2 linked regions of the Caenorhabditis elegans genome follow. The protein of the gene in region 1 interacts with the protein of each later gene in a biochemical or structural test. Each region holds a gene or a part of one and is shown on either strand. Other genes may lie near its edges. The genes, in order: mek-2 and ksr-1.

Region 1 (4,887 bases):
CTTCCCCTACTTTTTCCACACCTTGATACTTTATGTGTCATCATAATCAACAGTCATGTACAACAACGGGCGGAGAAGATGAGGAAATCGAAAAAAAAAACGCAAGGGATGTTCACTGCGCGGGGCGCACGGAAATTGCGTGCGCAACGATGAGACGCAGCGCACACAGAAGTGCGCGACTTGCCGTTTCGTTCCACCACAGCGGCCGCATATAAGCACTCGGGGGCAACGGCAAATGACTGTGTAGGCTTCTTCTTCTTATTCTTTTGACACTTCTGACATTTTTCATTTCCCTTCTTCACCTTTGATTCTTTGTTCGAATATTCTAGAAAATTCATAGAATTTCAGATGGACGAGAAGAGCAAGGGATCGTTGCGAAGTGTGGCGTTCGTCGCCGTCACATTCTCCACAGTCGCAGTGACTGCTGTGCTTATCGCTTTCCCATTGGTATTCCACTATGTGCAGACCCTTCAAGCTTCCGTACAAGGAGAGGTTGAGTACTGCAAGTCCCGATCTCGGGATATGTGGCGTGAGATGGTCGAGGTTGCACCGGAAGGTGCTGATGATCCACTTGATGTTCTGCTCAGAGCTACACGTCAAGCTGATGCTCAATGCTGCACATGCCAACAGGGACCACCAGGACCAGATGGAGAGCCAGGAACTCCTGGAAAAGACGGAGAACCAGGTCAAGGACCAGGAGAGCCAGGACCACCAGGACCTGATGCCGAGCTTCATGATCGAATTCTCCCGGTTCCACCACAATGCCCATGCACTGCTGCTCCAGGACTTGGAGGACCACCAGGACCACCAGGACAAGATGGAATTCCAGGTAACCCGGGAAGAAACGGAGAGGATGGAGCTCCAGGACCACAAGGACCATCCGGACCACCGGGACCACCTGGGCAACCAGGACAGCCTGGACAACGCGGACCACCAGGAGAGCCTGGAGCACTTCTTCCAGGAGGAGACGCTCCACCAGGCCCATCCGGACCACCAGGACGGCCAGGAGCACCAGGACAGCCAGGAAAGGCCGGATCTCCAGGACAAGACGGAAGCAACGGAGACGCCGGAGTTGCTGGAGAGCCAGGTAAATTATCATGATAAGCTAGGCTTCTTCTTCTTCTTCTAAACGTTAAATTTGTTTCAGGACAACGCGGACCACCAGGACCACCAGGACAAGCCGGAACTCCAGGATCGCCAGGAGACGCCGGATCTCCAGGATCGTGCGAGCACTGCCCACCAGCACGTCTTGCTCCAGGATATTAGAAGCTTATGCGAGTCTGTCTGTACATTTTCGAATAAACTATATTATTTTTTCAATCGATATGTCGTAGTTGTCCATTTAATAAAAAAAAGGGTGAAGAGGCTTGTGAAGCACGGTGAGCTCAGGTATCGCCAGGAACCTCTGGAAAGAGAACTAGGTCAAGAACCAGGAGAGCACCGTGAGCTTCTGTTGGAGGTATTGGGGGAGCACAGGAGAGCCTGGAGTGCTTCTTCCAGAAGGAGACACTCCAGCAAACCCAACTAGGCCATCAAGACGGACAGGAGGCTCACGGCATCCTGGAAAGGGCAGATCTCCAGGACAAGACGGAAGAAGTTGAGACGTCGGAGCACGTGGTGCCAGGCTGCCCCGTTTTGGTTTGATCTACCGAGATCTACAAAAAATGCGGGAGTCGAGACGAAGAATTTTCAGCTGACGTCACATTTTTTGGGGAAAAAATTGCCGCATTTTTTGTAGGTCAAACCGTAATGGGACAGCGGACAGACACCACGTACGGAGTTGCTGGAGAGCAGGGTGAGCCAAAGATTTCGTTTAAAAATCCAGAATGACGAGCTTTTTATTGGACGATCTTCTGAATATGTTCAGCCAGGAACCTCTGGAAAGACGGACTTCCAGGTGCTGGGAAGAAGGACGGAGCTTCAGGATCACAAGGATCATCCGGACCATCGGCAGAGCCTGGAGCACTTCTCCCAGGAGGAGGGCAAGCCGAATACCAGGATTGTGCGAGCACTGCCCACCAGCGAGCTCAGGGACCGCCAGGAACCATAGAAAAGTCGGAGAATCAGGTGATCCAGGATCACCAGGACGAGCTTCGTGATTGAACTCTCCCGATTCCGCCATAATGCCCGTGAGCTTCTGGACCACAGGAGAGCCTGGAGAACTTCTTCCAGAAGGAAACGCTCCAGCAAGCCCACCAGGACATCCGGGAAAGAGCAGATCTCCAGGACAAGACGGAAGCAATTGAGACGCCGGAGTTCGATCTTCTGAACAGGATCCGCCAGGAACCTCTGGAAAGACGGAATTCCAGGTACCGGGAAGAAGGTCGGAGCTTCAGGATCACAAGGATCATTCGGACCATCGGCAGAGCCAGGTACTCCGAGTAGAAGCTTGGTCAGATCGACAATGCGGATCACAAGGACAAGCCGAATCCGAGAATCCTGCGAGAACTGTCCACCATATCATTTTCCAACATACCCGCACATTTTCCAATAAACTATTACCTTTTTCAAAACTATATCAAGTGAAAGCCCATCCATATACTCCATACAAATTGATATATCGTTATTGTCCACAAAAGCCCCGTAGAATCCAACAATGAATGGACTATTGCACTTGTGAAGTACGGCGAGCTCTTTGACGATCTGTTGTCGGACTGACGGCTTGATCTCGAGGTGTACAAGCTTCCGAGCCATAATTACACCGGTTTTTCGATGAACACACTGAAAAATTGAACTTTTTATTTCCAAATTCCAGCTTATTTCAGCAAATTCCAACCTTATTAACAACTCCTCCATTTCCATGGCCAAGTTCTCCTTCAGTCTGTAGCATATCCTCACTCAACTCCTTGATGCCCTCCTTGACCTGCAAGAATTCGCTGAGCCGTTGAGTTTGTGGCTCCGTGAGCCCGAGCTTTTTCAGCTGTTCTTCTAGTGGGACTGTCGCGGTGGCTTCTTCCTGGAAATTTATATTTTTTAAATTCAATATTTAAAAATTAAAAATAATTTTAAATTATTACCGCCGTCGCCTCGCCACTTTCACTTTGTTCATTTACTGTCGGTGGTAGACTGAGTCCCAACGGATTACGCCGTTTTCCGCTCGACATTATCTGGAAAATAGTTGGATTTTATTTTAATCGAGAGGTTTTTTTTAGAAAAAAAACGAGGAAAATTCCAAGAAAACTTATGAAAAACTGGGGAAAATGGGAAAATTTAGCGATTTTTGGAGTCTAATTCAGAAAATACTCAGAACTATTTAATTTTCTAAAAATTAGTCAGGAAATATTAAAAATATTTAGTTTCTTTGGTAATTTTAACTGAAAGCAGAGTTTTTTTTCAGAAATCAAAGGTGGAGTACCGAAATTTGAGACTTTGTTTTTTTAGACGCAAGTTGGTCCAAAACTACCGAATTTCGTAATGAAACATTCTGAAAATTTCTCAAAAAAAAGTTATGACGGTCCAAAGTTCGGCAAAATAAGGCCAACTTTCAGCTAAAATCAAAATTTTTTCCAACTTCTCGGTGTCGCAACGTCTGGAACCTAATTTTTATTTATTCATCACTTTTTAATAAATATTGTGGTCTTTGATTGGGCGTTTATTCGTTGTTTTAAGCATATTTCTGGCCTTTGGGGCACAAATAAAAGTTACATTTTGTGCCCACTGACCATAAATGTACTTAAAACAACGAATAAAAGCCTAATAAAAGACCGCAATATTTATTAAAAAGTGATAAATAAATAAAAATTGGGTTCCAGACGTTGGGCCTTAATTTTGTGGGCCTTAATTTGCCGAACTTTGAACCGCCATAACTTTTTTTTGAGAAATTTTCGAAACGTTTCATTACGAAATTCGGTAGTTTTGGACCAATTTGGGTCTAAAAAAGCAAAGATTCGAATTTCGGTACTTCACCTTTAAAGAGGGTTTTCACTTAAATATACTCAGAATGACCTAAAATTACATATTTTTAAAAAATTCCAAAACTGTTTTTTGGCGTGTTTTTGAAGCAAAAATTGCTAAAATCCTACATTTTGTCAACTTTTCCTTGTCGCAGTGTTTTTTCAATGCTTGAGACCATTTTTGGGTGGCAAAAAGCCAAAAATTCTAAAAAAATGAAGATAATTCAATGAAAACTGGATTTTTAGCCGCTGATTTTAGCAAATTTTGGTTTTTTTTTTTCGAATTTTGATTCGCCATACACATTTTGGAATTTTTTCGAGCTATTTCGAGCCAATTTGAGTGAAAACCTATACAATTATAAATTTCCACGTGATTTTAGCCGTCTGAAAAAAGGGAAAATAAAAAAAATTTCGCGATTAATTTCTTCCGAAACAACTAGTTTTCTCTGAAATCGAGGCAAAAACGTGATGAATTGATTGATGAATATAACCTGTCGTGAAGTGGCGATTTTTGAGAACAGGTGAAAAAAAAGCACGGCTCTCTAGCTTATTGACTGCTTTTCCGGACTGCGAGAGCTCGGTCAAGCGAGAAGAAAAGAGAAGAAGGCGATGAGAGATGCGGGGAGCCGCTGCTGGAGCAAGAAAAAAGAGAGCAGAAAAAGCGCCTAAATAATTAAAAATTTAATCGAAATTGAGGAGGAGAGGAAATTTGAGAGGGGGATGACGGCTCTTTTGTTGCTTTTTTCTTCGAGAAAATGTGATTTTTATTGAGATTTCAGTGGATCCGTGCCAAAAACGGGGATTTTTGACCTGCTAATCGGATAATATAAGTCTCGATGAGAGGAATTATATAGAAAACGGGGATTTCTACGTAGAAGAAGGGACTTTCTCCACGATTGGTGCTTCTTTTGATGAAAAAAATGGAAAAATACCATTTTTCTGCAAATTTTTCATTTCAGAACAATACTGCCTGATTTATTCGATTTATTTCAGC
Region 2 (5,302 bases), on another chromosome or scaffold:
TTACACTACATTTTAAAAATTTTAATTTGAATAAAAGAATAAGGTTGATTTTTTAATTCTCAGGCTGCTTAAAGTATTAATTCTAAAATTAACAAATAAACCGAAAACGACGTTTGAAGGCGGACTCCGATCTGCGGGGGAAGTTTTTCAAAACCATTCCTATGGTACAAAAATAATCAAATATACCATAATAAAATTATTCCAAAAACTTTGGAAAGTTTTTTTTATTTAAAATCAAAAAGCTCAATACTAAATGGTCACCAGTTTTTGCGGAAGTCCTCCATCATAAAATTTTCCATTTTTTATTTCAATTACATTCAAAATATTCAAATTTTAAAATGTATGGGGTTTGAACATTTGACAGTGATTTAAATTTTCAAGAAGTGGAGCAAACTCAGTATAAAATATGCTTCAAAATTGTTTTAATAAAAACCGTCTTGTTTTTTTTTAATTTTGCAGTTACCATCTCGGGATTGATTAAAGTTAAATTTTAAAGTTTGATTAAAAAATGTCAAATTACTGGTTTTGAGACTATAAATTTTTATGAAAATAACTAGAAAAGTAAGGAATTTTGAGAACATTTTCAAAAAATAACAGTTGCAAAATTTTCGTGGCAAGAATTATTTTCTTCTACATTTTACTTAATACAAATTTTCAAATTGCCGCACACTTACCGTTCCAGTGATTTTGTAAAATCACTGTAGATTGAAGCAACTTTCGTTTGGTCTCCACATCAAGACGACCACGATCCGCAAGCGATCGCAACTGAAATAAACTTTTATGTTTGGGTTCAAATGTTCAGAAGGCGGAGCACAGAGAAACTCGGTTAAAAGTAATGAAACGAGCAATAGAAGTTTGATAACATGCAGACAAGAGTGAAAACAACTCGTAGAAATGTAACAGGTGTTGTTGGAACACGAATGACGTTACCGAGTATACGGAGGCAATGCAAAAAAACAAAAACGTGTATGCTTTGGATCGCTAAAAACAATGAATGTTCCAGAAATGCTTCAGCATAGTTGTTCTCACAAAAAACATTCATTCAAAATCAACTCTAATATTTTGGCCAATTATCATATGAAAGGCCACTTGAAGTTTTCAAGTTTTGTTTCGAATTCAAATTTAACAATTGATTTGTTCAATGTTGTTGTAAATTAAATGGTAAAGTTATCTTAAAAAATTTGACAAATCAAGTTTTAAAAAAATCTTCAATGAAAAAAAGGAAATTTTTAAATCTGAAAAATTACCAAACTAGTTGATTTGTCAGATAAAAGTAAGACAAATTTCATTTCGAAAAACACTTCCTGCTGCAAAATGACTAAATGAAAAGTCGAAACTCAAATTCAAACAATTACGAAATGAGATGATAAAAATCAGTCAGATACATGACTTATGCATGTGCTAGCTGAGAGAAAGTTCGTGAGTCTTAAAAAACAACAATGAGCAGAATATCAATAGGTAACAATTAACCTAATCCTCTTTTTCTGTTTACTCTTCTTTTTTTGGATAACAAATTAGCTCACAAAAATCAGGAAAAAAACGGAGAGAGCTGCAGTTTTCTGGCCTCTAGAGAAAGAGAAGAGTGGGAAAGGAAAGGAGAGAAATGCAGAAAGTAGAAGGTGAAAAGAAAGAAAGAAGAGACGGAAACAGAAACGGAAAAACGAGAGGGAAAGAGCGTCAAAGCGCACTCCCAAACACCCCAAACCAATGGGAAGCGTAGAGGGAAATGAAAAGAAGTTTAAGAATAAAACGATAATGTTGAAGGTTGTGACCCGAATCAGCAGAAAGACATTTAGAAGGATATAGATATGCCTAGAACCCGATTTGTGAGTGTTTGTATGTTTCTGTTAGGTGTAAAATCAGGAAATGATGTGTGAGAAAAGAGAGAAAAGGTAGAGCAAAAAAGAGAAGGATCAAACCTCTTGGTTAGTGATGCTGAACAGAGCATTGAAATCGGTGATCGAGCAAATCTCCAAGTGCCGAATGTTTTGTGCGCTGAGCCCGACAAATGTGAACCAAATGGCGTTGATCTCACGCTTCTCGCGATCAATCAAACCAATTTTTGTCATTTGATAAACGGCCGAGAATATTTTGCGCTGTAAATTGAGAATCATTGGAATTTAGTTGACGTCAATGAAAGATTTCAGACCATTTGTTTCAGGTTGTTTCACCTTTTCATCTGTCTCTGATATCTTGATTACTAAAATTCGTAGAAAAAAAGAGTTACATTCACTTAAAGTTTTTAAATCTATTTTTTAAAAGCTTTGATATTTTGATATTTTTTCATATTCAAAATATCATAAACTCACTAAATTTAAAACATTTGAAAATCAACATTTGTTTGAAAGTAAGTTTCAGTTTTTCAAATATAACGATTAGCGTTTCATGCACGAAGTTGTGCATCTAAATTTTTAATTTTTTAAATTTATTATCAAAATACCATTATAGAATTTAATTATACAAATAAACTTTACAGTATAAACGGAAAACGTCTAGAAAAACGTTTAGTACCACAGATTGGTTTACCACAAAGATCTAAAACAATTTGGACTGAGGTGTCAATATATGTATAGTGTATTTTATGAACAAAACTTTAAAGCATCTTAAAAATTTTTTCTGCTGAATGAAGACTAGTCTGTCTTGAATTCATTTATTTACAGTTTATAAAACAACGATGCTCACGAATAGGAGAAGTTTGAATTTTTACAAAAGTTGTTTTTTTTTCAAAAAAACTTACTTCTACACTTTTTGCATCTTCTTCGTATGATGAAGTCAAAAATCGATTGATAGTGGTAAGTTTCAAACATTCTGCAACTTCGAATTGTTTTTTTTTAAATTTTTTTTACTAACCCTTCAAATTATTTATAGCCTGTGTCTTTATATCCTGTGCGATTCCTGCACCAAACTGCGGTAGATTACTGTATCCCGCACGTGATGCAACTTGGGTTTGCATCATTCTGTGTATTGATATTATTGGTTAGTTTTTACCTTCTCCGGATCTTTTCCCTGAAATAAATCTTTCGTTGGTTGAGCACAACGTTCAAAAGGTTGCCAAGAAAAAACAGTGCTGGTTTTTGGTCAACTTTTGGAAATCCCCGGTGCAAACGGAGCACGCTGTGAGCTCACACGTGCGCCACACTCTTTTTTGCTTGGTTTCTCATTTTGTGTATGTGTGTGTGTCGTCGCAATTATCAAATGGCTCCCTGTGAGCTCATCCTTCGTTTATGTATGTGTGGTAGTGGGAGCAGGGCAATACGAATGTATTTGGTGCTTTAGAAAGGCGTTAAATGACTAGAAAAGCAAACGAGCAAGTAATATTGAAAAGTGCCGAGTTTTTTCTGTTAGTATGGTTTGCATTCGTACTGTAAGGGAGCAAGACAATTAGAGAAAATATGTGTATGCCCCACAGTACAGTCAGAAATTTCAATTCATGAGTTAGTAAAATCTACAATATTTTCTTCCTACAAATTCCATCACAATTGGATGTTTACAATTCAAAGTCAAATTGCGATGACCAATATAAGTATGCTTACAGTTTGTTTACTATTACAACATCATCTACTCAAAAAAGGTGTGTATTAACCTTCTAGAAAAGTCGAAATCGTCCGGAAAGTAAATTAAAAGCTTTCGGCGGCTTTCTGCCATCGAAATTGTGAAGGTTGCGTGGCGAACAATTATGAGACAGGTTATGTACATTACTCAATTTAGAAGTGACGAGAAGAAAAGAAGAATTGGTATTTTCGACCACATTTTCTTTTCCGGTGGTTAGATTAGACTTATTACATCACAATGTCCCGATTTTTTTCAATGGCATTCTACTTTTATTTTGGCTTCTTTTGTTTCTTTAATTAGAATACTGTTCCAAATCCAATAATTGTACTCTACCAATATTAAATGTGTTTTTTTATTGAGTAGAAATATTCAACTATTTCACTTAAAAAATCGATTATCCTTTATCATCACTCCTAAGTAATTATAGTTTATCAATTTGAGTTTTACATTTTCCTAGCTTTGCGTATTAAAACTACCACAAATACAAAAATTAGGAAGCTTAACTTTTCTTTCTTTTTTAATTTTTCGCTTTCACATGAAATACCGAACAACAGTATGGCGCTTAAAAATTAAGCAATGCCGACCGAAAAGAGTAGTTGTGAGAAAAAATTGCCATAAGGCTTTGGTCGGAAGTTAAAAGAAACGTTGCATTCAAATACTGTTCAATATATTGGAGAAAATAATGCTAGAATGCTGAGAGTTGTGGAAAGAGAAAGAGGAAGAAAGATCGGCGTGCAAGCAAACAAACTGTTTGAACGTGATGAAGAGAAAAGGGGAGAACGGTGTGGATTGACAGTAGGAATAGTAGGAAAGGACGCAAAAATGTCGGGAAGACGGGAGGATGGGGGGAATAGTGTATGAATAAGAGAGAGAGGAGACTGTATGTCTATGGGGTGAGAGAAAATGGTCCGCAATGAGAAGACCACAACAGGTGTTCAAAATGTTGCGTAATCAACTTAAGAGTAGGTCAAGATTCATACCAGGAATGCATTGAACAAGCTTTTAGTTCCTGGTTTGCTGGCAGATCACAACTAATTTAGTGTAACATCTCGGCAAAGTCAACATTAAAAATGTTGTTCCTGCTCGATGAAAATTTTGAAAGTAATTATGGGTAGTTTGTTGAACGTGCCAAAAACTATGGTAAAGTTAGCCAAAAATTAGGGTAAAATATAAGTACTGAAGTAATAGCAATTACGTTTTAAAAGACGACTAATGGACCAAAATGTTTAGACTGTGTTTTAAAAAGAGACTTCTCAAAAAATGCTGTTTAAAATGAAAACCGATTGTATTTAGCAGAAAAATTTAAAGTTTACAAATTTATACGCGTCGCAGCGGACAACAAACATTTTTTGTTGAACTATCACTATTCATTGATTTTAGTCCTTTATTACAAATTTTATGATAAAAGACGTGAATTTGGATGTGCATTGACAGGCAACCAATTTCGGTTTTTCGAATGGACATTTACTAAAATTCTCCTGTTTTCTCTATTAGTATTGTCTCAGTCTGTTTACATTTGGAAACCCATAGCTTGTTTATTTTTTAATTTTATGGAAAATTGTTATCAAACAAAAATGTACAGTATCTTTATCTACATACTTTTAATTGTCCATTTTCGGAAAACTAGAAATCGATTCAAGACATAACTTGTCAAAATAAAGTAATTGAGCGGAACACTAATAGAAAAAAAGAAAACACAAAATATACAACTAATATATGCAATAAAGAGTGAAAATTAGGTTAAACTGAT

Evidence for each region.
Region 2: the proteins of mek-2 (region 1) and ksr-1 form a complex in vitro, tested with the Caenorhabditis elegans proteins (one study listed by BioGRID).

What each region holds. Positions count from the first base shown.
Region 1 is NC_003279.8:3,010,342-3,015,228, forward strand, and holds the start of mek-2 (Dual specificity mitogen-activated protein kinase kinase mek-2), read right to left. Parts: upstream 3,108-4,887; 5' UTR 3,105-3,107; coding exon 3,018-3,104; intron 2,957-3,017; coding exon 2,777-2,956; intron 2,722-2,776; coding exon 2,503-2,721; intron 1,325-2,502; exon of another isoform or gene 1,267-1,324; coding exon of another isoform or gene 1,148-1,266; intron 1,088-1,147; coding exon of another isoform or gene 349-1,087; exon of another isoform or gene 343-348; intron 278-342; exon of another isoform or gene 152-277; intron 1-151. Other genes in the region: col-48 (Nematode cuticle collagen N-terminal domain-containing protein), read left to right, coding at 349-1,087, 1,148-1,266. UniProt on the Caenorhabditis elegans protein: Functions in the let-60 Ras signaling pathway; acts downstream of lin-45 raf kinase, but before the sur-1/mpk-1 gene product in controlling vulval cell differentiation. Required for progression of developing oocytes through the pachytene stage.
Region 2 is NC_003284.9:8,272,873-8,278,174, reverse strand, and holds the start of ksr-1 (Kinase suppressor of Ras A), read right to left. Parts: upstream 3,007-5,302; 5' UTR 2,957-3,006; coding exon 2,851-2,956; intron 2,809-2,850; coding exon 2,738-2,808; intron 2,097-2,737; coding exon 1,920-2,096; intron 766-1,919; coding exon 675-765; intron 1-674. UniProt on the Caenorhabditis elegans protein: Serine/threonine-protein kinase which positively regulates Ras-mediated signaling probably acting at the level of let-60/ras or/and lin-45/raf. Involved in sex myoblast migration.